Linked DNA regions of Sus scrofa. The protein of the gene in region 1 purifies or fractionates together with the protein of each later gene. This does not show direct contact. Links are inferred from orthologs where the notes say so. Each region holds a gene or a part of one and is shown in the gene's direction. Other genes may lie near its edges. The genes, in order: H3F3A, CBX5, UBN1, ASF1A and CABIN1.

The links.
Region 2: the proteins of H3F3A (region 1) and CBX5 purify together in Homo sapiens (affinity purification with mass spectrometry, with the first as the bait; 3 studies listed by BioGRID). This does not show direct contact. The link is inferred for Sus scrofa from reciprocal best matches to the Homo sapiens genes H3-3A and CBX5.
Region 3: the proteins of H3F3A (region 1) and UBN1 purify together in Homo sapiens (affinity purification with western blotting, with the first as the bait; 3 studies listed by BioGRID). This does not show direct contact. The link is inferred for Sus scrofa from reciprocal best matches to the Homo sapiens genes H3-3A and UBN1.
Region 4: the proteins of H3F3A (region 1) and ASF1A purify together in Homo sapiens (affinity purification with western blotting; 8 studies listed by BioGRID, with this or other methods). This does not show direct contact. The link is inferred for Sus scrofa from reciprocal best matches to the Homo sapiens genes H3-3A and ASF1A.
Region 5: the proteins of H3F3A (region 1) and CABIN1 purify together in Homo sapiens (affinity purification with western blotting, with the first as the bait; 3 studies listed by BioGRID). This does not show direct contact. The link is inferred for Sus scrofa from reciprocal best matches to the Homo sapiens genes H3-3A and CABIN1.

What each region holds. Positions count from the first base shown.
Region 1 is NC_010452.4:13,937,517-13,943,643, forward strand, and holds the start of H3F3A (histone H3.3), read left to right. Parts: upstream 1-2,421; 5' UTR 2,422-2,457; intron 2,458-4,002; 5' UTR 4,003-4,025; coding exon 4,026-4,153; intron 4,154-5,238; coding exon 5,239-5,392; intron 5,393-6,127. UniProt on the Homo sapiens protein: Variant histone H3 which replaces conventional H3 in a wide range of nucleosomes in active genes. Constitutes the predominant form of histone H3 in non-dividing cells and is incorporated into chromatin independently of DNA synthesis.
Region 2 is NC_010447.5:19,452,450-19,457,868, reverse strand, and holds part of CBX5 (chromobox protein homolog 5), read left to right. Parts: intron 1-1,281; coding exon 1,282-1,382; intron 1,383-3,312; coding exon 3,313-3,463; 3' UTR 3,464-5,419. UniProt on the Homo sapiens protein: Component of heterochromatin that recognizes and binds histone H3 tails methylated at 'Lys-9' (H3K9me), leading to epigenetic repression. In contrast, it is excluded from chromatin when 'Tyr-41' of histone H3 is phosphorylated (H3Y41ph).
Region 3 is NC_010445.4:37,551,834-37,557,912, reverse strand, and holds the start of UBN1 (ubinuclein-1), read left to right. Parts: upstream 1-2,657; 5' UTR 2,658-3,392; intron 3,393-6,079. Other genes in the region: putative oxidoreductase GLYR1, read right to left, coding at 339-418, 1,356-1,392, 2,432-2,469. UniProt on the Homo sapiens protein: Acts as a novel regulator of senescence. Involved in the formation of senescence-associated heterochromatin foci (SAHF), which represses expression of proliferation-promoting genes. Binds to proliferation-promoting genes.
Region 4 is NC_010443.5:43,204,251-43,209,669, reverse strand, and holds part of ASF1A (histone chaperone ASF1A), read left to right. Parts: intron 1-1,392; coding exon 1,393-1,508; intron 1,509-5,419. UniProt on the Homo sapiens protein: Histone chaperone that facilitates histone deposition and histone exchange and removal during nucleosome assembly and disassembly.
Region 5 is NC_010456.5:49,784,345-49,790,526, reverse strand, and holds the start of CABIN1 (calcineurin-binding protein cabin-1), read left to right. Parts: upstream 1-2,813; 5' UTR 2,814-2,917; intron 2,918-5,037; exon of another isoform or gene 5,038-5,150; intron 5,151-6,182. UniProt on the Homo sapiens protein: May be required for replication-independent chromatin assembly. May serve as a negative regulator of T-cell receptor (TCR) signaling via inhibition of calcineurin. Inhibition of activated calcineurin is dependent on both PKC and calcium signals.

The sequences.
Region 1 (6,127 bases):
TTCACTGTTGTATTCCAGCACCCAGAATTGGGCCCAGCACATAGTTGGCACTCAATAAATATTCACTCAGTGAGAGAACTTCCAGAAGCCACTGGTAGGTAACAAGGCACCTATCCAGGTGCCAAACATATTTGATTCTACAACTAGAAAAAACAGTCTTGGAGTTCCCGTTATGGCTCATCGGTTATGAGCCCAACTAGTATCCACGTGGGTGCAGGTTCGATTACTGGCCTCATTCAGTGGGTTAAGGATCCAGCACTGCTGTGAGCTGTGGTGTAGGTAGCAGACAATCGTGGATACTGTGTTGCTGTGGCTGTGGCATAGGCCAGCAGCTGCAGCTCCAAGTTGACCCCTAGCCTGGGCACTTCCATATTGCTAGGGTGCAGCCCTAAGAAGCAAACAAAACAAAACAAAACAAAACAAAAAATAAAACTTCACACAGATAAAAATATTTCCTCCATTTTACAGATGGTTCAGACAATCCAAGATCAGAACTATTTTACCTAAAATAGTCTTTCCTGTCCTTAGAAGTATTTTTTAAGCCAAAAAATAGAAGCTATGGAAAAATCTAGCATATAAAGAGAACATTACCCATGCTATTTAAAATTTCTTGATGTAGGATTAATTCAATTGATATGGAACAGCCTTCCTGGAAAACTCTTGGAAAAAAACAACAGATATTTTAGTTCCCTCAAAACAAAACAAAAAACAGGCAAAAATAAATAAATAAATACAACCACATTTTCTTGGCTGGAATTACAAGAACTCTTCACTGGCAGCTCAGCCTAGGGTTTTCTGCACATATGCTTTTAGGATAGGCTTGCAGAGTGCATGTGTTCTGTACAGCAACCACAGACACTTAACATTCATTAAATAATAATGAAACAGAAGGCCTGGATTTTGTTTGTTTCTCCTGGGTCTGTTCCTCACTTAAGTGACCTTGGACAAATCTATTTTTTCATATGTGATTTCCATATATCCGTTTTTAGGATAATGTTTATGATTACAATGCTTTATAAGATCTTCAAACTGCGGAAAAGTAGTTAATGCCCTCCATCTATGAAATTTATCTTTCACTATCCTATGGGATGTCAGCATGACACTTCTATTGAAAACCTTCACACATAGTTGCAAAGTGTTGTCAATACCAACTAGGGACCGTGCAGATATTCTGAGTCCAATGAACTAACAACATGGATAACTTGAAACGGTAAGTCTGTTTCCTACGCTACTGAGAATGGAAAAATATAATCATCCCCAAACCACGTTTTCCTTATTTCTGCCGGTTTTCTACCGCATGTAAACTATGCAGAAGCCGCTGACAATGTTTGATTTGGCAATTCTACCTAACATTTCATCGTTAAAAGGCCCAACAGGCTAGTAGGACACTCGGCCAGAACCGGAGTCAGGCCCTGGTGCAGTTAGCTGTGTATTCCATACATTGTTTTAGAGGCTTACAAAATACAGCCATCTTGCATCAGGCATCCCGGCCCAGGAAGGAGGCGAGCCCCGTCCCCTCCGAGATGCTACCTGCGAAGAGTCGGGCGTCCTAGGTGGCAGAGCCCGTGCGCGCAGCCCGCAGCCCGCACCGCGGGGCCCGCCTCCGTCCCCGGGCCAGTGTCTTGAGTGAATAAAGTTGTCTGAGGGCGAGCCAGCGGCACCTGGCCCGAAGCGAGGGCACGAAGACGGCCGGCCCACAGCCCTGCCAGCCGCTAGAGCCGCCCCCTCCGAAAGTGGGCGCAAGACGGGAGGCTTCTATTTGCAAGCTTCCTTTTGGGTAGTGTTTTCAACTGGGCCGCGGCGACCCGGCCCGCCGTGGCCTCCTCCCCGCCCCCACGCCGCCCGGGGTGCCTCGGGGACGCGCGCCGGGGCCCGCGCCGGAGCGGGGCGCCCCCTCCTTCGCCCTCCCCGCTGCGGCCCGAGACGCCCGCAGGTCGGGCGTTCACCCGCCGAGCCTCGGCCGGCCCGCCCCACCCCCTCACTTCCCCTCGGCGCCCCAAACCCGGGCTTCCAGAGTTCGATGACGTGTGCGCACGGAGCGGGGTGGGAGTGCGGAGCAGGGGAGCGGGAGTCAAAACTGGGGCGGGCGGGCAGCCGTCTCGGCGGGAGCGACGGCCCTTCGGCGTGTCTTTTGTGTTTGTACACACACGGCGCGAGGCTGCCGGGAGGAGGGAGCGGGCGGCGCGCGGGGGAGGGGCGAGCGCGCGCCAGCGAACGGGAGCGCGGGGGGAGGGGCGGGGGCGGGGCGCGAGCAAGGGGCGGGGGGCGGGGCCGAGCCTTCCCTCCATTGTGTGTGATTGGTTGGCGCGCGGCGCGGGGGCGGGGCGGCGTGTGTTGGGGGATAGCCTCGGTGTCAGCCATCTTTCAATTGTGTTCGCAGCCGCCGCCGCGCCGCCGTCGCTCGCCAACGCCAGCGCCGCCTCTAGCTCGCCGAGCTCCAGCCGAAGGAGAAGGGGGGTAAGTTTCCCCGTTTGCCCGCTTCCCCGGAACCGAGCCCCGCTTGCCGTCAGCCCCGGGCCGGGCCCCGGCGGTGCGGAAGGGGGGCCCCACGGTCCCTCCTGCTTGGCCCACAAACTTTTTGGCCCAGAAATGGAGAGGAGCGAGTTTCCCTCTCCCCTCAGGCGGCGGCGGCTCCGGCGGCTCCCCCGTCTCTCGCCGCCTCAGCCCAACAGCAGCAACCGCCGCGTCGCCGAGCCTGCTCTCCCTCCTCCCCGCGCCCCTGGCTCCTCTTTCTTCGGTGAAATCCCGCCCGGCGCCCCTTCCCGGGACCCCAGACCTTCACCATGACCCGCGCGGGCCTCTTAACTACAGCCCCCGGGCCCCGGCCCCCAGTTTTCGGGCGGGAAAAGGGTGGAAATTGCCGCTGCTTCCCACCCTGGGGTAACTCGCTTTTTGCTGCCTCCCCACAGTTGTTGCTAAGCTTCACCATCTTGTCTCTCTTCTCTGGTCACCGACCATATTTTTTCCCCCGTTTCTCTCTTCCCCATTTCAAAAAAGGAGGACAATTTTTAAAAGAGAAACATGTTTTTCTCCTTTTTTAGAGAAGCGGAAACTTGATGCATTTGAAATGCAAAAAAAAAAAACTTTTGCATTTTGGAGGGCGGCACGTGGCAGGGGATCGGGGTATTTTCAAGCGTTTTGGTGTTTTGTCTCTTTGGTAGGGAATCGGATACGTTTTGCGATTGTTTCCATTTTGTTCGGGTCTGGGAGCTCAGTTTGGCTGCGCGAGACGCTGGGAGCGAGACGGGCAGGCTGGGGGACCCTGTGCCGAGGGGCCGGTGGAGGCGAAACCAAAAGTTTATGTCGTGCTTGGGGTGGACCGGTCGGTCGCTCTCGTGCGTTAATTAAAGCCTGGGTGCGGGGCACTTGTTTTTATTTCATTGCGAAGCCTCGGAGGACTGGACGGCGAGGACGGGGCTTTGTAGAATGCTCGCTTGGTGGTAGCTGTTGTTCCCCTCTTGTTTTTGGAGACGCCTTTTTGTCAACAGAACTGTAGAGATGCAAAATCAGGAATGTTTTCTGATATTTACAGCAGTCTATCAACTGCCAGACGTAAAGGGGGGGGCAGCGCGGGGGGGGCTAAAACCTTTTTTGCTGTAATTTGACGCGACCTTTCTGTGGTTTGTGGCTTCATTATTTTGACTTATTCGTTGATCGGATGTTTACAGACATTTCTAATTTCTACTTTAATTAAAGAAATTGAAGCGAAGGCAGATAGGGGTCTTTTTGTTTTGCCATTTATCGCTCAGATTTAGCATTTTGAGAGGTGACTGGTGTTAATGCTAACAATTTTCTAGTACTACAGTTTGTTTCAAGAAGTCATATTTGGGTGGTAGGCGTAATCTGCACCCTTTCAAATTATGTAACATTACGGACATTTTTAAATACTGAGCCAAATTTTCAGATTGGGGGGGCGCGGTGGCAGTGGCAGGAAAACTTGTATGTTTGGTGGTTGCATGTGGTGATTTTTTTTTTTTTTTTTTTTTTTTTTGATGCTGGTAGGTAAGTAAGGAGGTCTCTATACCATGGCTCGTACAAAGCAGACCGCCCGCAAATCGACTGGTGGTAAAGCACCGAGGAAGCAACTGGCTACAAAAGCCGCTCGCAAGAGTGCGCCCTCTACTGGAGGGGTGAAGAAACCTCATCGTTACAGGTATTAAAAAGACGGGAAAAAAATGGGGCAAAGTGTATCTTCCGAAGTAATAGCTATACAATCTAATAAAAAGATGTATAATAAGCATCCTTTTTGCCTTAGGGAAACTGGTATTTTTTTCCCCTTTTGGTTATTTACTAAATTTTATATTTGGTGTTGGGTTTTATTAAGGACCATGTTTAATTTCGAAGCTGTAATCTTAGCTTAAGGGAGATGTTGCATCAGTAATATCGTTAATGCTATGGAGTAAAATTTTATTTAGCTGACACATTAGAAGTTTTTTAAATAATAAAGTATTGTTTTTTAAATACCCTTTTGAGGATGCTCTTGATTGTTGTCAAAATAATTTTATCACGATTGGGAGAATTTTTAGTCCTTCATTTACTTAAATTGGGTTATTTCCGTCTATTAAAACATTAGTTTTGAACTACCCTGAGCAGTGTTGTTAAGGGCATCTGCCATTAGAGGGCAGAAGTTATCCGTATTTAGGTGCCCTCTGTGAATGATTTTACAGTTAACCTAAAGTAAAAGCTGGTACAGTGGAAGAAATAAGTCAGAATTGAGGTAATTTTCTGGCTGAAAATCAGTTAAAAAAAGAAAAAACTTCTATATGGAAGACACCTCACACAGTCAAGAGTATTCAGATTTAATCATTGATGAGTGATGGTCCTAGTCAAACTAAAGGTGTTCTGGGAAACCAAACTTAATGTAAGTGTATTTTTAAATGAAGCTCATTGGGTTGTGTTGGTAGGACTTTTAGAAGAATTGAGGGTGCTGATATGATAATTATTACAGAAGTTAGTTAAGTATATATGAAAGATGAAGAAAATAAAGGGGATTTTGATTAAACTCCCTGCCAGGAATCTACATTAATACCATGCTTTTTGCTCTAAAGGTATTGTGGTGTTACTCTTAATAGACTTGAATATTCAGGTCATAAATTGATAAGTGAAATTTGATACCAAACCTGAAGAATAGTTAGGTGATTTTTTGGGGGGGGGGAGCGACAGCATCGCTTCAAAGCTGATCACTCTTATGTCTTTATGTATTTGGTAACCATTTCTTTAATGTGTTTTGCTTTAAAGGCCTGGTACCGTGGCACTCCGTGAAATTAGACGTTATCAGAAGTCCACTGAACTTCTGATTCGCAAGCTTCCCTTCCAGCGTCTGGTGCGGGAAATTGCTCAGGACTTCAAAACAGATCTGCGCTTCCAGAGTGCAGCTATTGGTGCTTTGCAGGTAAAATGGTGGGTGGGAAAGGCTCTAAAGAGTTGGCGGTACTGCTTTGTACCAAGAACAGTTCTAAATCTTTGCATATGCCTGTGCAATTTAATCACCACAAACTGATGAGGTACGTGATAACTATTTCACTGTTGAGGTGTCAGAAAGGTTAAGTTGCTCAAGGACATACTTACAGATATGTAGTTTTAGACTTTGAGACACTGAGATGTTTAAAGGGAAAAAAAGCCCTCTAGTTCAGCTGACTTGCTGCAGGACATTAAGAAGTCATGGGGCTAAAGGTCTGTATTGGTGATTAGATTCAAACAGTGACAATTTTTTAGGGAAGTTAGAATAAATGGCTTCCAGCACCTGAAGAGGTGATTGCAAATACAGAAATATGTGGGGTGAGAATTGGCAGTATTAAGTGTGCATTGAGGTAAAAGAAGCATGAGTGGTAGTTAGGATTGGATTGACAATAGGGAGGAAAAGATAGGCTTGTAAAAGAGAAATTCGAAGACTTGTTTGCTGAAAGGGATTATGTATGGATTTCTACTTAAATGGCAAACAGTGAATTTACTCTTAGCTCCAGTGTGTCAGAACTTTGAGAAATACTGTTTTAGCTGTGGTTATATATTTGAAATATTGATGGTTTATGCTACAATTAAAACTTGAAATGCCTACAAGTAAGATTTGATTAGTTATATAGATATAATTAACATCAATCACTTAAGGAACCTATTACTATTATGTTAA
Region 2 (5,419 bases), on another chromosome or scaffold:
CAGCTGTGTGCACATCTGGGAACCTCCTCCTTTTAAGCACCCCCAAAAGAGGCTATGTTTTTAAGTCTGTATGTCCCCTGATCCATGCGTGGAATTTCCTTCCCAATGTTGGATTCTGGTATCTTTGGGGACCACCTGGACGCTGAATGCTTTGTATCTCAGAAGAAAGCAAGGCGAATATCAGAGCAAAGAGATTTTATTATGAAAATCAGATATCAGAGATTTAGTTCAATTGGGCAGTCTTTCTAAATCTTTTTTTGTATTGACACTAAATAAGCTTGCATTATCTTCCATAAAAAGGTTTTTTTTAATTACCTGGTTTGTATAAAATTTCACCATTTTGCTCTCACAAGTGGCAGCACACCTGAATCAGACTCTAATGCTCCTTGTCTGGACTGCGTGATTATCGTTTGACCAAGTCTGAATAATTCCTTACAGAATTATCAGTCTAGTTCTGCTCTCTTTTTTTATTTTTGTTTTTTTCGGGGGGCTTTTTTTGGCTGCAGCAAGCAGCAGCTTAATGTGGGATCTCAATTCCCAGACCAGAGATTGAACCTGGGCTGCAGCAGTGAAAGCGTGCGTCCTAACCACTAGACTACCAGGAAAGTCCCCAGTTCTGCTCTCTAATGCAATTGATCTATCCCCTTCAGGAAGGGATAGACATAGACCAGGGCCTCTTCCCCAAATGTGTGGGTGTTACAGTATGTGAGCTCTGAAAAGAAATTTTCTGTTTTATGATAATGCCTTGAATTATCCTTATCTCTGTTCTTCCATAAGCATAGATGACTCTGGGAAAAGAAGTATTAAAAATATTGGTCAGTGTTAGGTGAACTAAAAGTCTAAAAAAATAAAGATTAAGAGGTTTTATATTTGAAGTTTATAAAATGAAAAAGGGTTTCTTTCAGGTAACCCCTGTGGACTTGTTTATCAACCCAGAAGGAACAATTTAGCAGTAGTCCATTTATAATAACAAGATTAAATGAGGGGATAGAGGATTTTCTATATGATGACTCCAGAATATTTTAAAGGATATTAAATAGTTTTAGGGGCCACTCCAAATCCTTTGAAGGAATACTGGAAGGACAGCTGCAACTTCCTGTAGAAATATCTCTGTCACTGGCTGATGCAGTATTGTATTTAGATCCTAAGAATTTTATGAATTGGTGACAAAAGTGATATCTAGTGATATTAACTTAGGTTGTGCTTTGTTGAGCTGAGAAACGGGAAGGTTTTTTGACTGTTATCTCCAAGCTGTAACCTTTCTTCATCTTCTATTTATAGCAGAGCAATGATATCGCTCGGGGCTTTGAGAGAGGATTGGAACCAGAAAAGATCATTGGGGCGACAGATTCCTGTGGCGATTTAATGTTCCTAATGAAATGGTGAGAGAGATTGGGCCTCACTCTGCAATTGTGTTTCTTTGCCAGTGACTTGAATTTGTACGGAAGATAGGGAGAGAAGACTGAGTAATTTTGATTAAGAATTTTGATCGTCAGGGAGCTAAATTTTTAGCTGATACCAACTGTCAGTATTAAATGGGAATTATAGTTCAGAATGGATTTAAGACATTTGAAAGCTTTAGTATTAAGCCAAATTATAATATATTAGCACACATACTAATGTGTAGATTTGAGGTAGGAAACATATAAACATGACCTAACCATTTAATTTACACAGTTGTGAATCATTTACCATCAGACCACGAGCCTGTGGCCATGGAATAGGAATTGAGTGAGGCTTTCTGCCATCACTGAGGACCAAGACCACTCAATAATGTCTAAAAGAGAAGAGTAATCTCAACAAAAAGCATTAAGAATAATACTGGCCAAAGCACAAATTATTTCATCCGGTAGAGGGAATGGATCTTAGAGGAAAGTATAGTTACTTCCCCTCAATTTGGTTTCTTAAAGACAGAGTGATTTATAGTGTGGCCCTCACTACCTCTCTATTTCCAAGTGTTCTGGGCTTGTAATTTAAGTTTGGTCTCTAAATAGAGAGTTCATGCTACAGTGCCACTAAGGAAGCTAATTACCTTAGAAGTTGTATAGTCAAGAGGTTTAATATTTTATCTGATCGAAATTTTGTTGGTAAATTACCCAGAAGTCTGTATTTGAAGAATCACTATACTCTGTCTGCATAAGGAGCTGTATTGACTGCTTTTCCCACTCAGCCATATGTGGTACTTATGATTTACATTCACATGTTAACTAGCTTTTTCCACCACAGTCCAAATTTGGGTAGCTGCTCTTAGCGATGTGTTTCCCTCCCCACCCCCCTTCTCATCCATAATGCTTACCTCTATGAATTCAGCATCTCTGTTTCCTAGGAAAGAGGTTAGCTGTCTTTGCTCACATCTCGGTGGGATTTTAATTTAAAAATTTTTTCTTTCTTGATTTGGATTTCTGGTTAAGGAACTTACTGGATTTCTTTTTCATATTGTAATTGAAATTTGCATTTAATGCCTACATTTTATTTTAGTGACTAGATTTTACATTCGTCCTCACTCTGTTTTATAAGGACTGTTGCTGACCGAAATTTCTACTTTCTTACTGTTCTAATCCACAGTTCTGACCAAAAGGATGAGTGTTTAAAAGGTCACGCAGGAATTCCCCTACTGGCTGGGCAGAAACGAATCTGACTAGTAACCAAGAGGTTGAGGGTTTGATCCCTGGCCTCGCTCAGTGGGTTGAGGATCCGGTGTTGCCGTGAGCCATGGTGTAGGTCACAGACGCGGCTCGTGTACTGCATTGCCTGGATACCGTGGCTGTGGCGTAGGCTGGCAGCTGTAGCTCCGATTGGACCCCTAGCCTGGGAACTTCCATATGCCTCGGGTGTGGCCCTAAAGAGCAAAAGCCAAAAAATAAATAAATAAAAGGCCACATGATGAGGAGAGTTAGGACCTTTCAATGATCCAGATGATCCAAAAAGTGGATTGAGCAATTTATGCTTAATCAATAGGGCTGAATGTAGGTTTGATTGTGTCTTTGCTCACATGCTCATACCCACACATAAAAATTATGGGAGCAGAATTTATATAGTAGTTTAATTTTCAGCCTTTTGGTTAAGCCTGCTAGGTTTCCCATCTATTCTAGCTTAAGTCTTCTGATGTGGTAGTCGAATGATGTTTACTAACTCGATTCATTTACTTAAATTTCTCCTTGAAAATGTGGGACTGTTAGGATCCTTTTCCCTTTGAAGTCAAGATGGAGAAGAAATCAAGTCAGCTAAATCATAATTTAATGACATAAACCTGTGTTTGGACACTCTCTCACCTTTCCTCTCATTCTAAATCTCATAATTCTTTCTCTCCAGGAAAGACACAGATGAAGCAGACCTGGTTCTTGCAAAAGAAGCTAATGTTAAATGTCCACAAATTGTGATAGCATTTTATGAAGAGAGACTGACGTGGCATGCATATCCTGAGGATGCGGAAAACAAAGAGAAAGAAACAGCAAAGAGCTAAAGGAGGGGGTGGTCTCTGTCATTTCTCTTTGTACATAATACATTCACCTTCCTGCCTCCTCTCCCTTCTACCCACCCCCTTCTATCCTAAACACATCCATAAAAAATGTGCTTATCACTGTGCTCCACAGGAGAAATGTTGGTATTGGTTCTCTTGTAACATAACTGATGGTCTGATTCATGATAAGTGTCTCTCTGTGAAGACCAGGCATTTACATACTGTGTGTAATTCCCACAGTTTTTTCCTTTGCCCTGCTCTCTTCCTTCTGCTCCCCTGTGACCTCAAGATGAGTTTTAACTTTTTAATCACTTTAGAGTTTTGATCTTCAGGGTTGGTTGCTTTTTAGATGGGGGATTTTGTTACATTGATGAAGAATTTTGGTTTCTTGCTTTGGCTCTTAGAACACGTTGATGACCAGCTAGCCTTTGTTTTGAGATGTTGGGATGGAAATGATGTTGCCCATCTTTTGAAAAAGCCAATAGCAACTGCCTACCTGTTGGGGCTTCCCCCAACCTCATTCAGCTCTACCCAGGAGAATACAGGGTTTCTGGTGTGGTCTTCTGGGCCACCCTCTGTTGTTCATCCTCACCCATCCTCCAGAATAGCTCCATCCTTTGGAGGACTTGAAATTTTACATTCAGATTTGTCAAGGCACTCCTTTTAGCCCCAGGACTCTTGGCCTTGTTTCTTAGCTGTCCCTGATTCTGCTTCTGCAAGTTGGTGTAGTCTGTCATAAAATGACAAAATTATTAACTGTGGAGATTTTTAGCTATTAGTACATGAGGATGGTGGGGTAGGATACAGTTGTCTTTATTATCACATGTGGTACATATGTATTATTTCCTTTCACCCCTCCCATTTGGGCTATGTATTTATGTAGGTGTGAGTGACTGCCTGGTGCTTGCTTGTGCCAAGGTGCTAGGCACCCTCCAACCCTGCCAACTTTTGTGGCCTCCCAAAGCATTCCTGTTACCAAAGAGGCTTCAAACCTGACCCTCACTTCTCAGTGGACCCACGTTTCTCCTCCATGCCATTATTTTCAGTGGGGAATTCTTGGAGGGGAGCCATTGGCCACCATATCAATTTTAAATATTCATAGTGTCTATAATCATAAGTTTCCTGCTTTGTTGACTCTTGGATTTGCCACCAAGAGTCCCCAAAGTATTAGTGCTCTTACTTTTTTTCCACCTTTAAACTCGTAGTGGTATCTTATTTTTTCAGTGCATTTCTATGGAAATTATCACCTTGGAGAGTGACAGGCCCCGGCATTAATTAGCATGTTGACACAACCTCTCCCTTCTTGGCAAGATAGTTCTCTTTTGGCTTCTTCCTGCTCTGCCCTTATATGTAGAGATTATTTTTCTGATTATCTCCTTCTGCCTTTGTTCCCCAAGAAATGCCCTACTTCTCTTTACCCTTTTTTTCCTCATAATTGAAGGGGGCTAGAGAATCAAGACTAAAAGTAATAAGGAAATAGCAGGGTTTTGAGCATCCTTGTCCCAGCCCAAAGCTGAGGAAATATGAACAAATGCTTGAAATAGCCTTAACTCTAGAGTTCACCAGCCATTGAGGTGGTTTTTTGGGTTGCTTTTGATTTTTAAAACATACAGCTGTCTGGCCAGGAGTGTTCAGTCATTTCTAGATTATTCAGAGTAATGAGAATGGAGAGATTGCTCCAGTCTACAGACGCGCTGAATGATATGCAAATCATACACCCATTCATAGCATTTGTTACCATTGCTTCCCTGCTCAGCTGCTGATTGAATTCTGTGTGCTCGTATAAATTACGTCAAAAATTATACTGCACAGTTGAGAAGACAGCTGTTGCTGCGTGACATGACAGGCCAGAACAATGAAGCTTTTGGCTTCAGCCATCCAAGAAAATCTTTCTGAATAGTAATGTGATTGGGTGAGAACTCAGCCTATACCTCAAGTGGGTAGGAGTTTTATCTCCAT
Region 3 (6,079 bases), on another chromosome or scaffold:
TAAAAAAGAACCAAACACCCTCATAATGGAACTGTCTGTGGAGTTCCGAGTTCGGGTAAAACAAGCGTGAGAAATGATCTCAATGAGATTATCATATTTAAAAGGTGGCAAACCCTACTTCCCACCTGACTGCCATTGTTACCGGCCTCAGGATAGCTGCTCAAGAGAATTTCTCGGGGATAAGAACAGCACCTTTTATTTAGGTATGAAGCCAGAATGATGGCCATTCTGTGGACTACAATGAGACTAAACAAGGATCCCGAGAATCAACCAGCTTCAACCTGGGGCAAAGCCCAAACAGCAAAGGGAAAGCGAAATTCTTGGTGAGCACTACTCACTGATCTTCTGTTCCAAAAAACTTTACAAAGAAGCATTTCTTTCCACGTGGTTTCTTTAAGTCCTTGGGTGGGTTAACAATCTAGGGAATAAAAGGGGGAAAAACAAATTTTTTTCCCCACAGTTATAAGTTGGTAAGGGAAAGAAAAAACAAAACACAAAAGAAATACATCTTAAAAAAACAAAACCAAACACAGGGCCTATTTTATGTCCAAATCTGGCACTCTTCTACTGAGACGTGGAAATGTGCAAATATTCTAGAAGTTCCCTGTGTCTGTCATGTAACACAGTGTTCAGTAGATACAATATCCCTTTTACTAAAACGGCCCTGTTTTAAAAGCAGACCAACATCATTACCTCCTGTAATGTGACCCTGTCATTATGGAAGAAACGCAGAAAACACTCTTAAAAATACCTCTGTGCAGGAAGAGTTCAGACAGGTCAACAGTGACAATGAAGTAACAGTGACAACACCGAGACACTGAAAATGCCATACTGCAAAGAGTCTGAAGACATTTCCTAGGCTCCAAACAAGAATATAAAAACAGATCGGTTGGAAAGCTATGAAGGATCACTTCGTGCAAAACGTGGAATGCCAGCTTCTGCAATGCACTGGAGCAGCACATATGGTAAAATGCAAAGAAGATTTAAACTCAGTGGGACAAAAATACTTTGACTTTTCACTAGCCTACATTTAGATTTTTCTTACTGGAAAATTTGTTTTCTTCTCCATTTATTAGATTTATGTGCAAAGCTAAATTCAAGTTAGAAAGGATTTTCAGGATGAAAAGACTTTTCCACAAACCACCTCTGATTCAAGAAACAATAACATACTGTAGATTTAATGACGTGGTTTAAATTACACTGCCTTTTCTAAAAAAACTGACAGTGGAGGAAAAAAAAATTCTCCAATGTTATTTAAATAGGCCCAGTTAAACTCAATGTTAGGAATTCAAGGGACTGCATCTTATACTCTCCACCTCCTCAAACTCAACTTCAGATGTCCGCCAGTCACTCACCTTTCCCGGCCAAGGAGGATACCGGCCGAGTTTCCCCCTAGAGAAAACACAAAGAGTCAGCATTTGCCCTGGAAAGGCCAGTCCGTCTCCTTCAACCCACTCAACATGCAATTTATTTTCCTAAATCTCCCCTTCGACGCTCAAGTGCCAGAATAGAAAAAGCTGGGAACCAGAAGTTCTTATTGTGGCATCCACAGCTGGGCCCAAGAGGCCCAAACCCCTCAGAAATGCAATGCAAAACTGTAAACTTGTGTGCATTCTTCCGGTGACAAGGGATACAGAAAAACAAAACTACCAAGAGTCGTTTGTCCAGAACCTCCCCGGGACGTGACGAGGGTGGCGGGACGGTCTGCTGTGTAAACACAGACTTCCCCTTACAAAGTCTGGTTTCATCCCCCAACCCGGCTTTGACAAATGCTAATGGAAATCCTTCCTCTAGACTGAGAAATGAGCTACGCAGCTCAGCTGGAGGGAGGCGGCGACAGTAAGTCTTGGTTCGGGCGGTTGTCTGGGACACAGAAGCAGACCAGGGGAAGCACCCAAGGAGAAACTGGTCCCTGCCAAACCTCCAGTTGTAAAGGAGAAGTCCCCACTCCGTTTCTTCACAGGACAGTGCCAGCAGCCCGGTTTCGACACTCCCGGCTGAGCCGCCCGCACCGGTCGGTGCCATCGCAAGGCGGGTTTCGACGGGCAGGCTGGGACGCGATGGCTCCGCAGGCTCCCCGGCTCTCCCGCTTTCCCGGGAGCCCCAACCAGACCCCGAGGCGAGGACCGGGCGTCCGCGGGAGCCGCGCGGCGCTGGGCACTCCCCAAACGGTGGCCGCTGGAGTCCGGGTCCTGTGCGCAGCCCTCTCCACAGCTCAAAGCCGGGTCCGCCGCGGCCACCCTCGGCCTCAGTCCCCCCGGGCCAGGCTGCCCCTTCCGCCCGGCGTCGCTCCCAGCGCCCGCACCCCGCCTCGCCCACTCTCCGCCACCTGAAGCGAAGAGAAAGGCAGCCCCGGGGCGGGCTGCGAACCCCACGCACAGGGAGGCAACTCCCCAGCGCACATCACTCGGCCCGGGCCGCCTGGACTCACCACACCAAATCGCCGAGCCGCAGACTCACAGTCGCCATCTTACCACCCAACCACCGCCGGCGCACGGGCAGCCGGGAACATCAGGTCGTCCCGGTGCCGCCCATTGGAGTGAGCCCGGTCACGTGACGGGGGCTGACCGTAACCGGACACGCCGCTGCTCTGACGTCACCGCGCCCGCCCAGGCTCATAGGCCGGCCTAGCGGCACGTGACCCGGGCGCCGCGGTCTCCGCGCGCCGGAGCCCGGAGACTCCCGGCTTCTTCCCCCTCCCTCCGGCTCGTGACAACGTAGCGCAGCGGTCTGAGGCGGCGGCGACGGTGCGGCCGGCGGAGCGAGCGAGTCCCCGAGCTAGGGAGCAGGTCCTGCGGCCCGCTCCGCCCCAGGGCCCTGGCCTTCAGCCCCTCCCCCTCGGCGCTTCCGTTACGGCCGTTAGTCCTGCGCGGGCCCGGGGCCGCCCGCGTCTCCGAGCCGGCAGCTGCCCTGACGGACTTCGGCGCGGCCTGGAAGCCAGCCTCCGCCCGCGCCCGGGGCCTCGCGCCCGACGGGCTCTTCGCGGCCGCGCCCGGAGGGCGGACAGGTCCTTCGGAGGGTGGACAGGTCCTTTGGAGCGCTCTTTCTAACGGCCGGCGTCCAGGGAGAGGCTCCGATCCTGCGTCCGCGTCGCACGTTCTCCTGGGGCGCAGTGCTGCCCGTCCCGAAGTCCCAAGTTGCCCGGCCGACGTGGAGCCGGCGTCTCTCTGCTTCCTCCTGGGCCGGCGCGTCGGCACGGCCGGCGAGGCCCCCCGGGCGCGCGGGGACCGGGCCATGGGCCGTGGCGCGGGCCGGCCGACCGCCGGGAGGCATGGCTCGGTGGCCGGCCGCTAGCAGCGCGGCAGCCCGGGCTCCCGGGCCGGCATGAGGACGGCCACGGGGGAACGAGTGCGGCCCGCGGGGCCGTAGCCTGCGTCGCGCCGGGGACAAAGGTACGTGTCTTTGTGGGAACTGGGCTCTCACGTAAGCTTTGTTGTGGTTTGACACTTTTAGGGAAGTTGGAAACAGGCTGTTTTGACAACAGGAAGGCAGACGCTAAGCGTAGTTTCAGTATGTTCAAACTAAACCATTGAATGGGGAATCTTGAATAACAAGCAGTTTAGCACAGCGTCTGCCTAAATATCACCATCGCAGATAGAATGTAAAACATTTTAAAAAGGTTCCAATCTCAGTTTGAGAACCCAGGGAGTCTAAGTCAAGTGTTAACTTACCCGGGACTTTTCTTGAGTCACCGCCTGCATGAAAGAGTGGCAGGTCCACGGGCATCTCTCATAGGTGTCGTGTTATACAGAGACTGGGTGTAAACGGGAAGTTTTTAGCGAACTGACTTGTCCGAAGCCTGGTTTCTCTTTGGAATTCAGTTTCGCTGAAGTACCATCAGCTAGTTTCAGGAAGTGTCATTTACTGGTAACTATTTTGTGTTGTTTTAAATACAAATCTATGATTTAAAGCGTATTTAAGTTTCCAAGAGGGAACACTAAAATTCAACACACCTTCCTAACTTAATTTTTGAGGAATCGAAGGGTACGTTAATGACTTCATAAAATACACAGATCTTAAATCAACATCACATTGGACCTAGAGACATTCCCATTACAGTCAGGAACATGGCAAAGAATATATTGTCTAACATTCTGGCAGTTCTAGCCAATGCAACAAGACATGAAACAAAAATAAAACGTATTTTTTCGGAAAGTAGGAGACAAAATTTTTCTTCTGTGAATGTTACTCGACAGCCTATTTTGAAAAGTGCAAGGGAAATCCATTAAGTAAGAGTTCATTGAAGAGACTAATTACAAAGTCAGCATGCAAAATTCAGTTAGTTTTTCTACATTTTTACCAATAATCAGTTTGAAAATATTAAGAGGGTATGTAACAACAAAAAAATACTCCTGAGTATAACCTGAGGTACAGAACGAAGTTGTTATTTTGGGGTTAGCATCTGTTGAGGTTTTTTAAGAGGGGTGGTTTTGTTTGTAGAATACTGTGCTTTTATTTAGAATAATGTTCAACTCATTAAAATGCTCAGCTCATTGCAATTGAGTATCCAGGAGTTCCTACTCTGGTGCAGTGGATTAAGACTCCGACTGCAGCCGCTCTGGTTGCTTCAGAGGCCAGATGCAGTGGGTTGAAGAATCCCTAGTTGCTGCATATGTGGCATAGATCACAGCTGTGGCTCAGATTCATTCCCTAGCCTGGGAGCTTCCATATGCCATGAGTGCAGCCATTTTAAAAGAAAAAAAAATTGAGTATCTTAAGTGCTTAGCTTTTAAAAGCCTTTTAATCTTTGTTGACAATTTTATTTTTACAGATCTAAAAATGCTTATGTAAAAATATATTTGATTTTTGACAAATTTTCAATTAAGGCACCAGTTTAACAAATTGAATACCCCCAGTGAACTCTTTTTAAAAATTAAATTCTGGAGTTCCCGTCATGGCACAGCGGAAACAAATCCAGCCAGCAATCATGAGGTTTTCGGGTTAGATCCCTGGCCTCACTCAGTGGGTTAAGGATCTGGCGTGGCCGTGAACTGTGGTGTAGGTCGAAGACTCGGCTCAGATCTGGAGTTGCTGTGTCTCTGGCGTGGGCCGGAGGCAACAGCTCCCAATTGGACCCCTAGCCTGGGAAGCTCCATATGCCGCGGGTGTGGCCCTCAAAAGACAAAAAAAATAAATAAATAAACTCCCTCAGATGTTCTAACCTGAATTCAAAGTTTTATATGGTTGTTCTTTCTCTCAGATACATCACACTTCTAAAGCGTGAGCTTACAAACCTAAAAGTAAAATCTTTTCAAGGTCTTAACTCTTAGGCGTCTAATACTCATGTAAATGTAAGTCAGGTGTTTTGAAAGCATACTTTCAATTTAGTTACATTTCCTTAAGCATTTCAAGTTAAAGTTGTAACTAATAATCATGAATGTGTCTCATTCTCTTAAATGTTTCACATGAATTACTACAATGACTTAGAACTTAATCTAAAATGTAAGTGTTGATATGCTATTGTTTGATTTATTTTATTTTCTAATCTTATTTATGTAATTTCTTAGGCCTGCAAAATCACTTACCCAAGCAGTAGAAGCATTTTTATCATCTAGGGGATTGAAGTTACACTATCTAAAATTTGGGCCTAGATGAGGTTACATTTTTATTTATTTATTCATTTAATTTTGTTTTGTTTTGTTTTTGTGTTTTTAAGGCCGCACTTGTGGCATATGGAGGTTCCCAGGCTAGGGGTTGAATCAGAGCTACAGCTGCTACTAAGACTACAGAGCCTACTAAGGCTCTGTCAGCATGGTTTCTCTAATTTCAAGAACTTAGTGAAGATACGTAGAAGAAAGACTGCAAGGAAGCATACTAAACAGTGATTATCTCTGAATGATGTGAAATGGCATGTCTTTTATATGTACATGAAAACTTATGTGTATATACATATATACATATTTGTTTTTCTAAGGCCGCACCTGCAGCATATGGAGGTTCCCAGGTCTGATTGGAGTTATAGCTGCCAGCCTACACCAGAGCCACAGCAACACCAGATCCGAGCCATGTCTTCGACCTACACCACAGCTCATGGCAACGCCGGATCCTTAACCCACTGAGTGAGGCCAGGGTTCGAACG
Region 4 (5,419 bases), on another chromosome or scaffold:
CAATCTCATGGTCACTTATTTTCCCCTTTGCTCATTCTGCTCCTGCTCTGGCAGCCTTGCTTTCTCTGGAACATGCCGAGCACAGGCCTACCACCAGGCCTTTGTACTTGCTGTTCCTTCTGACTAGATATTCATACTGCTTGTTCCCACTCTTAATCTTCATCAGCAAATAGATGATCGCATGAGATGTCAGATGCAGAACGCTGCATCTAGAAATGTGCTGGAAGCTGGAGATAACGGTGGTCTAGGTCTGGGACAGAACCATGATATAAGAAGAGAAAGTATTAAACCGAAGGGATCTTCTAATTCAATAAATTGCAATTTATAATACAGCGTGAATATGTACTCTTACCATCTATTTAGGGAACAAAAATGATAACACGTGCTGGCACTGACTAGATTCTCCACAAGTGACCCAGAAACAACCCTATGGAAGTGCTGGTATAGAGTCTGTGTAGTGAATCCAAGAGGCAGGCCAGATAGTGCCAGACACTCTAAGAGGACCAAGACGTCTCAGAGATAACTTGTATCTGTAGGGTGATCTTCCTTTCCCTACTAAGAGGCCCCTTCCAAAGAGCAGTTATTTTACTCATCCCTGGGTCCTTCTCGAGAGCACAATGTAAAAGGTGCTCAGTAAAGTCTGAATTAACATAATGACTGAATTACGTGGAATGTCTTGAGTTGCACTTAACTTTGTCTTGTTCCTGCCTATTCCCTCTGTATATACTCTGATGTATCTAGTGGTATAATGATCCCTGGTTTCTTCTTCCCAGAATAAAGAACAAATGACATGAAGAGGTGCCATGAGGGAAAAACCTGACTGGATCTTTACCAGTTGATGAGCTGGAGCCCTAATGGGCTTCTGAGCCACAAGAGAAGTTTGCAAATTAATGATTTTTCTGCTTTGGAGCTCTTTGATGAGTCAGATCTGTGCAACATAGTATAGGGCAGCCCTTCCAAAGTGTGTTTATCAGGTTGTTAAAAGATGACATGCAGAAAGGCGGGGGGAGGGATTTCTTAGCCAAATAAATTTGGGAAATACTGTATTAATGTTACCAATGGTCTTTACTGAAGGGTTTCTCAGACCACTTGCTCTGCCATTGTGCTTGATGAATCCTCAAGAGAAGGTGGCAGCATTTCCCAAATTTTTGGTCATTGTTGTTTTGTTCCTGAGGAGCCCAGACCAGGGACCAGTGTTTCATAAAACAGCATTCTGAGAAACTCTGGTATGAAATGTAAGCATTTTATAAGGAGCACTTCAGTGTCTTTCGATTTTCTGCTATGAGAAGCCAATTTTAACAGCTGATGTATGGTTAAGTGGACATTCAAAGGGTCTTTGATGTCATCTTGTAATTACTGAATATGAAATAATGTTTTGGTTTTTAACCCTAGACCTGGAATGGAAAATTATCTATGTGGGTTCTGCAGAAAGTGAAGAATACGATCAAGTTTTAGACTCTGTTTTAGTGGGCCCTGTTCCTGCAGGAAGGCATATGTTTGTATTTCAGGTAAGATTATTCTTGGTAAATATGTAAGTTAAAATACATTTCTAAATGGTCCTTAACCCTCTCCTTTTGGGTTAAATCACTGGCTCTGCTGCATTCACTTTTTATCTGCTTCTGTCATTGTTTTAAGAAGTCTCTAGGTCATAAGGAATGCCACCTCCTTATTTTGTGTGCCGAGAGATGTTATTGTCATGTTTACTTCAGGGTTTGCACAGCATGCAGTAAACCTTACACTGTGTCATGGCACACATGATGGTTAATTTCGGGCTCTTCCTGGGAATATCTACCTTGAGGGTGGCTGTCCAGCGGCCCCAAACAGGGATTCCAAATGCTTACTACTAACTAGTATAGGTAGTAATTTACACTTTCAAATTATAGTATCAGTCACTAGGAATAATAACAAAACAACAGTTTATTACAGCATAATCAGTAGTTCAGTTAGGTTAACAGGTATGTTAGAAGAGAGAGATCTACGAGATCATGGGTCATTGGAACTAAATGAAGTCCAGTGGTCTACTAAAGCATCAAATCTACACCTCTTATAGAGAATTCCTGTTACAAATACACAACTCTGTCATTCATGAGGAGAAATTCTACTAATACAATTGTGTTCTCAGATGCCACTGATAGTATTTAGGTCTGTGCCAAGGCTTCAGACATTGTCTTCTGTATTCAAAAATATTACTTCTTTTAATCCATGGCAAATTGTTGTATAAAACTATTCCGTCACTTCTCCATTATCCCTGTTTATTAGGAGATATTTATAATAGTCCAAAGAGTAACTAGCCATAGCTTTTTAAAAAACTTAATTTTGTTACAAGTATTTCTACCCAACAGAGTTCTATCGGTTAAAGTAGAGCTCACTGAGAAGACTCACAGAAAGAAAATCTAACTTTTCTATCCTTGACCTCTCACTTTTCTCACTTCACAGGTGAGATCTGTTTAAATGAATACTGTTGATCACATAATCCCACCAGCTATGGGCTAAGAATCACTCAAATATATGGTATCATTACAGCTGCTGCCCCTCCCTCCCATCTCCTCAATATAGAATTCAGAACCTTGGTCTCCCATCCTTAGTGCTTTTTATTAAATCTAAATAAATGATTAAGAAAAGCTTAAACATTACTAAAAGGCTCCAATATATTAACTAAAAGCATAGTTAGCCTGAGTTGTGAGAGTGAATAATCTTGGTGAAGGACGGGTTATCAGAGGATGCCTGTTGGGTGGGGGGAAGCACTGCAGTCGTAGACCTGAGTCACATCTCACTCTGCTGCTTGTTAGCCATGTGTGACTTTAGACAGGCTCCAACCTCCCTTGTTCTCTCCACTCATTTATAAAATGTGAATAGCATCCTACCTCATAACAGTGTTCGGAGGATTAAAAGAGGAACCCGGCAGATAAGTATAATCACTGATAGACAGTGCCCTATTTCGATAATTAGAACCAAGGTTTTTTTAAATTCTTTTAGCTGCTGCTGCTTCTTTTTTTTTTTTTTTTTTTTGGTCTTTTTTGTCTTTTTGTCCTTTTAGGGCCACACCCGTGGCATATGGAGGTTCCCAGGCTAGGGGTCTAACTGGAGCTACAGTTGCCGGCCTACGCCAGAGCCACAGCAATGCCAGATCCAAGCTGCGTCTGCAACCTGCACCACAGCTCACAGCAACACCAGATCCCTAACCCACTGAGCAAGGCCAGGGATTGAACGTGCAACCTCAAATTTCCTAGTTGGATTCATTCCATGACAGGAACTCCCTTTTAGCGTCCTGAAATTGTTATATAAAGAAGTAGTATTTGCTTTGACCCACAAGCCTGGAGAACCTGTAATTCACAGGTAGTAATTCATGATGTAAGAAACTTAATTGGGGATGTAGTGATATACCTTTTGATGCTGCTAGAAGTGTTGCAAATAAATGCCATGTTTTTGAAAAAGCCCTTAAAGAATCTCTTCTATGTGTTTAAGGATACTCCTCAGCTTTTGCCTTGGAGTGTTGTAGGAAAAATATTATTCAAAATTATTTCCCTCTGGTGATTTTCCAGTGATTTTTTTTACCTTGGTATCTGTGCAGATGTTGCCAAAAGTACAGAGGAAGTTGTGTGTGATTTAGATCATATGTTCAGCTTATGCATTTTTTAAAATTCACCATTATCAGCAGAAAGGGACTAAAATAGTTTTTGTTTCATGTTTTTAAACAAACTACCATAGTATTCTCCTATTCTTCCATGACTTTAACTCTCAGGATGAACATGCGTTTCTCCTGAGTGTGTAAAGAGGCTAGCAGGAAGGTGCCTGGACATCTAACTAGTATTGCTTGTTGGAGTGAAAAATCTCTGCTTATCACTTCTCCATCCTAAATGATCTGAGACGTCTGCAAATTCTCTCCTTGAATTTGCTCAAGCTGCATCCTTTAGCAAACAAATTTTAAAACACAAACAAGCCTCGGACGAGTTTGTTGAGCAGATGGGAAGCAATATGGGGGGAAAGTTCCCACCGTACTGAACTAACTCTATTTCCCATCTCTACCCAAAGACAGATAGCATATTCTCAGGACAGGCCCTCTGTCCCCATTCTGGTATCTCTCCAGAGGTCATAAACCATGTCAGGGTAGGAACTGAGTTCTGAATGAATTTCAGAATACAAATACTCTGTCCCTAGAGCTATGCCAGACTTGTGATTACAAAGATGAACTGGATAGGACTCCTGCCCAGGATAAAGCCTAGAATCTCAGAGAAGATTGAAGGGTAACATATTTAGATTGTTAGACATACATTAGTAGAGAATTTGTGTCAAGTAATATGAGTGCATAAAGAGTGCTATTAATTATACCTTTGAATTAGAAAGGGTTTTGCCGAGAGGCATATATTTGATGAAAGCTTCAGAAGATGAATTTTTCAGAATGTTAGGAAAGGACCTTTCAGGCCAAGGGAACAGTATATGCTAGACAGGAAAGACTATCACTACATTTTAAAGAACCTACATTTCTAGAAGAAGAGATGTGGCGTAAAAGGGGTGTGGTATTGGTTGGAGACCAGTTGTAAAGGGCCTTAGAAGCGTTAAAGAAGTGAAATTTTTATCTCAGAATCTGAGGTTTTAAAACCTGGTGAAGGGATAGGAATGGATCTGGGTTTAGATGGCTGCTGTATAAATTGGCTAGAGCTGGGGGAGAGCAGTAGGGAAGCTTTGGTAATATTCCAGATAAGAGATGAAGACTTGGATTATGCTTTGAGATGACAGATGTCAAGACTCACTAGACGTTTTTAGTCTAGGTGACTAGGTAGATGATTTATGCCTTTTTAGGTCCCCTACATGTAGTAGGTATATAGCAGTCACTAGTCTGTTACGAAAATGGCTTGACTGAGAAGGCCAGCCAGGAGCCTTCCCAAGCTAAGGCATTGGCTGAAGTCTTTACCCAGGCTTGTCCCGTGGATGTGCTTTGGTGCCCTAGTAAGAGTAAGCCGATCTGCTGGGGCTTCAAGCACCTACCACTGAGAATGGCTCTTTGGGTTGTGCTCAGATGCCTCACTGTCACTGCCTGTCCCGTCTGTGCCTCCTTCCAACCAGTGTCCTCACTGTCTTGCCCATGGCTATGGACAGGGCCCCCGTGCTGCTCATGCTCTCAGCCACCTCTAGCTCACTTGCCTCACCTCCTGCCTTTGTCACAGTTCAGCTTACAGCAGTTTGATTCAGAACAGGATCATTGATTACCTCTGCCTAAAACAAACTTTACCATCAGTGAATTTCCATAGTATATGTGATTTAGTATTTTTTGACAATCTGCTATACTATGTAACTATTTCCATTCCATTTTCAGTTTTACATTAATTTACTATGAGAATATCTGTGAGGGTTGGGTGAGTGGGTGTGAGAATGTGTCCTGGGAAATTGGACAATCAACATTTGCTGCCAAAAGGCTGTG
Region 5 (6,182 bases), on another chromosome or scaffold:
TCTTTTTTTTTTTTTAGGCCTGCACCTGTGGCATATGGAGGTTCCTAGGCTAGGGGTCTAATTGGAGCTACAGCTGCCAGCCTACACCACAGCCACAGCAACGCCGAGCTGCATCTGTGACCTACACCACAGCTCATGGCAATGCCGGATCGTTAATCCACTGAGCAAGGCCAGGGATCAAACCTGCAACCCCGTAGTTCCTAGTCGGATTTGTTTCCCCTACGCCACAACGGGAACTCCTATCCTCAGGATTGACAGTTCACTGCCCATGGACTGCTGTGCCTGGGAGGGGAGCAGTGGGGCTGGGCTTCAGGGACCTTCCCAGGACCCTGCCAAACTCCATGTCCCATAAATCTTGCTGATAATTCTGTTACTGTGTGCCCTGTGAAATCCATGGCCCAGGATGGCAAACCCGGAAATGGCTGTCTTTAGAAACAGAATGAGTAAGATCCCACCCCCTTATCTAAAGACCAAATCCTGCTTTGGCATTTCAGAGGATATACAGGTGGGGTGGGGGAAGCCTCAAAGAAGCCTCCTCAGTTTCCTTGCAGGTTTGGTTTTTTTTTTTTTGGTCTTTTTAGGGCTGTATCTGTTGCATATGGAAGTTCCCAGACTAGGGGTCAAATTGGAGCTGTAGTTGTCTGCCTATATCATAGCCATAGCACCTCAGGATCTCAGCTGCATCTGCGACCTATGCTGCAGCTCACAATAACGCCAGATCCTTAACCAAGTGGGGCCAAGGAATGAACCCACATCCCTCATGGATACTAGTCCAGTTGGTTTCCAACGAACCACAACGGAAATTCCATCAGTTTTCTTCCAGATGTTTGATGCTGAGTTTAAATCTCAGACATTTGTGGGCACTATGTTTCCCTACACAGTTAAAGCTTTCATCATCCTGTGCACCAATGAAATACCAAACAGATTTTTAGTCTATGCAGTCCAGGTGCATTTCCAAAGGAATGCACCTGTGCCTGGTCTTTGTACCTAACCAATGCCAAGTTCCTGCCCCTTGCTTCCCTTCCTGTTTCTGCACTTTTTCCTGCCAACATGAATGTCCCGCTTCTCAAAGGGACATGGGGAATGTTTGTGGGTTGAATGTAAATGAATGGTTGAAGTGCCCAAGGAGGGATTCAGGCCTAACCCTTGCCAGGGCCAGTCTGGTCTTCCCACCTCAATCTTTCATCACTGTAGTGACTGGCCCCTCCACCAGCTTGGCAGTATCTCTCCCCACTGTGCTCCTGAGCTTTGCTGCTTAACACCAGACTGCATGATGTTCCTGCATGGCCTGCACTCTTAACTCTAAACCCTTGCCACACAGCTTCCTGCTGCTTGGACCACCTTTATCTCTTTTTTTCTTTTTAAATTAAATTTTTTTTTTTTCTTTTTAGGGCTGCACTCACAGCATATGGAGGTTCCCGGGCTAGGGGTCCAGTTGGCGCCACAGCCACAGCCACCCAAGACCCAAGCTGTGTCTGTGACCTATACCTCAACTCACGGCAATGCCAGATCCTTAACTCACTGAGCAAGGCCAGGGATCGAACCCACAACCTCATGGTTCCTAGTTGGACTCGTTTCCGCTGCACCACAACGGGAACTCCCGCATCTTTTTTTCAATTGTTTTACTTCAGAGCATCTTTCAGGGGGTGGGAGCTGCGTCCAAGGCTGCAAGTCATTCATGAAACTTCTAAACCATCTGCTTACTCTCTATTTACAGCTCCCCACCCCTGCCCAGGTTACACTCCTTTCAAAATCAAGCTTGGTGACTCAATTATTTTTGTACCTCCTGGCATATCATTAAAGCTTTACTGTACTGAATTGAGTTCTTCAGCATGATTTTACCGTCTTTAAACAAAGTCAAAGAGAAAGGGCGTAAGATTCATCCTTCTTTTTTTGGCCAGGCTCACAGCTTGTGGAAGTTCTCTGGATCAGGGATTAAACCCAAGCCACAGCAGTGACAAGGTCAGATTCTTCTTCTTCTTCTTTTTTTTTTTTTTTTTGTCTTTTTGCCATTTCTTGGGCCGCTCCTGCGGCATATGGAGGTTCCCAGGCTAGGGGTCGAATCAGAGCTGTAGCTGCCAGCCTACGCCAGAGCCACAGCAATGCGGGATTCGAGCCGCGTCTGCAGCCTACACCACAGCTCATGGCAACGCCGGATCGTTAACCCAGTGAGCAAGGGCAGGGATCGAACCCGCAACGTCATGGTTCCTAGTCGGATTCGTTAACCACTGCGCCACGACGGGAACTCCAGACAAGGTCAGATTCTTAAACCGCTGAGCCACCAGGGAACTCCTAACATTCATTCTTATTTAAATCATACTTCCTGGACTCATGCACCTATAAATCTGAACCAGGGAAGCCCTTCCCTAAAATGCTTAGCTCCCAAGAGCGTAACATCTCAGTCCCAGCCGGTTGTCAGAAACCCTCTTCCAGGCTCTTAAATTCTGTTGTTCCCTCCCCCGCCCGTTCACCTCCCAACAGACTACCCGCCCTCCGCTCCCCGCCCCCAGTACTCTCTGCTTCAATAGTTCGTTGTATCTGTGGTTTTTAGGCTTCAAATCCTTTTCGGAAAAAGGTGAGCCACGGGCATAGGAATGAGAATATTGTTACTCCCTTGGTCCCCTCCAAGTGTCCCCAGGTTTCCACCTTCCGAGCACCTGTCGCAGTTGGAACACTGCTGCCGATTACTTAGCAGGTGTCACCAACCGCGCTGCAGATTACCGCCAAGAGGCCCTCAAGGTCCCCGCGCGCTGGCTCTCGGGAAGGCGCGTGCGGGCTCGCCGATTGGCTGGCGGAGCCGGCTCCCGAGCCAATGGGAGCGCTCCTTGTTGTCAGGCGCGCAGTCCTTCCGACGGGCGCGGGGGTCCGGCGGACGGCCTGTTGCCGTGGAGACGACTCGTGAGTTCGCGTACTGCAGGTTTGGGGAGGCCCCGGGCTGGGGTGAGGCTTGGAGGTGTGGTGCTGAGGAGCGGCTGGCTGGGGGCTGCTCACGGAAAAACCCAGGCTGGGAGCCCGAGCGGCCGAGCCAGGCCCCACTGCCGCGCGAACCTCTTGGCGGCTCCCGCTCCGCTTGGGGCCTGGGGCGGGGGTCTCAGGAACGCTGTGGGGGTCTCAACAACTCAGCCGTCCCGTCTGCGGTCGCGGAACAGGGCCCCGCACCCACCCTTGCTGCGTGTCCTTCCACTTAACCTTCGCGGCGGCGCTGCGCGGCGGGCACCAGGTGGGCGCCCCTCGCGGGATGGGGACTGAGGCCGAGAGGTGGTGCGGCCGCTTGTCCCAAGTCCCCAGCTTCCCGGCAGGCTAGCCGACTCCAGACTAAAAGCCTGGACCCACTGCCGTCCCGGAGGAGGCCAGGTGGAGCTTTCTGACGTCGGCAGGTGTCTGCACAGGCGGCTTTAGGGGTTCCTTCACCCCTTGGTGAAGGGCCTACTGTGTATGCGGACCAAGCGGCTGGGGTTCTTTCTGTGTGGTACATAACCGTGGTTAGGACCCATGTGTCCTCAGAGACGTCTGGTTCAGGGGTCAGCAAACTTCGGTTCTAAATAGAGTAGTTTATATGATACTATTCCTTGTGACAATAATGAGTGTAATTGTGCTTATAATGAGGAGGGGGCATAGTTTTCTTAGCTCTGTTGCTGTATTGTGGACACAGCCAACGACAGTTCGTAAAGTTGTTTCAAGAAAATTTCATTTAGGGACACTGAAGTTGCAATTTTATGTTGTCAGTAATTTTCATGTGTCATGAACTTTTCAACCATTTAAAAATGTAAAAAGTGGGAGTTCTTGCCATTGTACTGTGGGTTGTGCTGCCCACCCTAGCGTCTTGGGTTGCTTCTGAGGCAGGGGTTCAATCCCCAGCAGTGGGTTAAAAAGATCGAGCTTTGCGGCAGCTGCAGGGTAGGTAGGTTGCAGCTGTGGCTCAGATTCAATCCCTGGCCTGGGAGCTTCCATATGCCATGGGTATGGCCATTAAAAAAAAAAGAAAAAGAAAAAGCCATTCTTTGCTCTTGAGCTGTACAGAAACTGTGGGCTTGGTAGCTTGTGGATCCCAAGTCTAGCCCAAAGCCTCATACAGTGGAGGGAAATGACCTAGAGACCGGCATCTGATGCCATGTCAGTCACACGGCCCAGGCTTCCCCATTCCCAGGCCAGAGCCTGCTAAGAAACATCACCCCTTATCACTGGATCTGGGTGAGGTGCTCAGGGTGTGCTGTTGTCATGTGTTCTGAGGGCCATGAAAACTGTACCATAAAGATTTTGGAAACTCATGAGGTTTAAGTCCTGAATGTGCCTTTTTGGTTTTTTAAAATTTTATGGTCCCACCTGTGGCATAATGGAAGTTCCCCAGGCCAGGGGTTGCATCACAGCCACAGCTTTGACCTGTGCCACAGCTGTAGCAAAGGGGGATCCTTTAACCCACTGCGCCCCGCTGGGGATAGAACTGGAGCATCCACAGCACTCCACCAGTTACTTAGTCTTTACTAAACTTCTAAACTTTTTGGCCTTGCTGAGTTTTTCGTTTGTTTGTTTGTTTGTTTTGCTTTTTTAGGGCCCAACCGGCAGCATATGGAAGTTCCCAGGCTAGGGGTTGAATCAGAGCTTCAGCTGCCGGCCTACGCCACAGCAATGCAGATCTGAGCTGAGTCTTCTATTTAGACCGCAACTCATGGCAATGCCAGATCTTTAACCTGCTGACTGAGGCCAGGGATCCAACCTGCATCCTCTTGGACACTACGTTGGGTTCTTAGCCTGCTGAGCCACAGTGGGAACTCCCAGCATCATGTTTTTGTGGTTCATCTGTGTTTTCATTAGTTCATTCCATTTTATGGCTGATTGATATTCCATTGTATGGCTGGACCACATTTTGTTTATCCAGAAATTAGTTGATGGCCATTTGGGTTGTTTCTTCTCTTTGGTTATTATGAATAATGTAGCTGTGAACATTCCCTCATGGATTTTGCAGCTGCAATGTTACTTCATTGTATGGAGGTGCCATAGTTTATTTATTCATATCCTGGACTATCTGTGGCCATTTAGGTGGTTTTCAAGATCTTGCAATGGCAAACAGTGCTGGAACCCTGTGCATATGTATTTTTACATGGTTGGAGATGCATCTTCAGGGTAGATTCCTAGGATTGCTGGCTTGAAAGGTAAGTGCATTGGTGATTTTGTTGCCTGTTATCATACTCTTTTCCAGAGGGGCTATACTAGTTTGTTTGTTTTTTTTGTGGGGGGCTTGTACCAATTTGCATTCCCACCAAAGGTGTTTGAGAGTAGTGCCTGTTTCCCCACAACCTTACCACCAAGAGTGTGCCTTTGTGCTTTAGTTTTTGCCAGTGTGTTAGGTGAGAAATGGCATTTCAGTGGGCATCCTTTATTGCTGGTATTAAAGGAAGTCCTTCTGGTGTTACTTCATTTAATAAATTTTGGCTTTAGACTAAGGTATGTGTGTTTTAACATTGTTAAGAAAATTCCAGGAGTTCCCTGGTGGCACAGCAGGTTAGGGGATCTGGTGTTGTCACTGCTGTGGCTTGGTTTGGCCAAAAAAAAAAAATATATATATATATAGAATACAGAAAATTCTGGTTTTCTTGAGGTGCCTTTTTTTTTTTTTTTTTTAATATCATGAATAGGTGTTGAATTTTGTCATAGGCTTTCTTTTCTATGGAGATAATCCTTTCTATTGCCCCCTCTCCCTCCGCCCACGGATGAGTACACTGTGTTTTTACGTATGTGACGTGTTTTCATTGTTTGTATTTCTTTAAATGTCTAGAATTTTAGTTGCATTTCCTTTTCCCTGGAAGTTGTTTAATATGAGGTTTTTACATTTTTATTTTTATATTTTTAAAATTTATTTATTTTTATTTTTATTTTTTGCTTTTTAGGTCTGCACTTGCAGCATATGGAGGTTCCCAGGCTAGGGGTTGAATTGGAGCTGCAGCTGCTGGCCTACACCACAGTCATAGCAAGAGGAGATCTGAGCCACGTCTGTGACCTACACCACAGCTCACCACAACGCCGGATCCTTAACCCACTGAGCGAGGCCATGGATTGAACTTTCGTCTTCATGGATGCAGGTCATGTTTGTTAACTGCTGAGCCATGAAGGAAACTCCGGTTCCTACATTTTTAGACATAAGGACTTTTCTTCCTCTGCTACTGGTGGGGTGGTTGTCACTTACC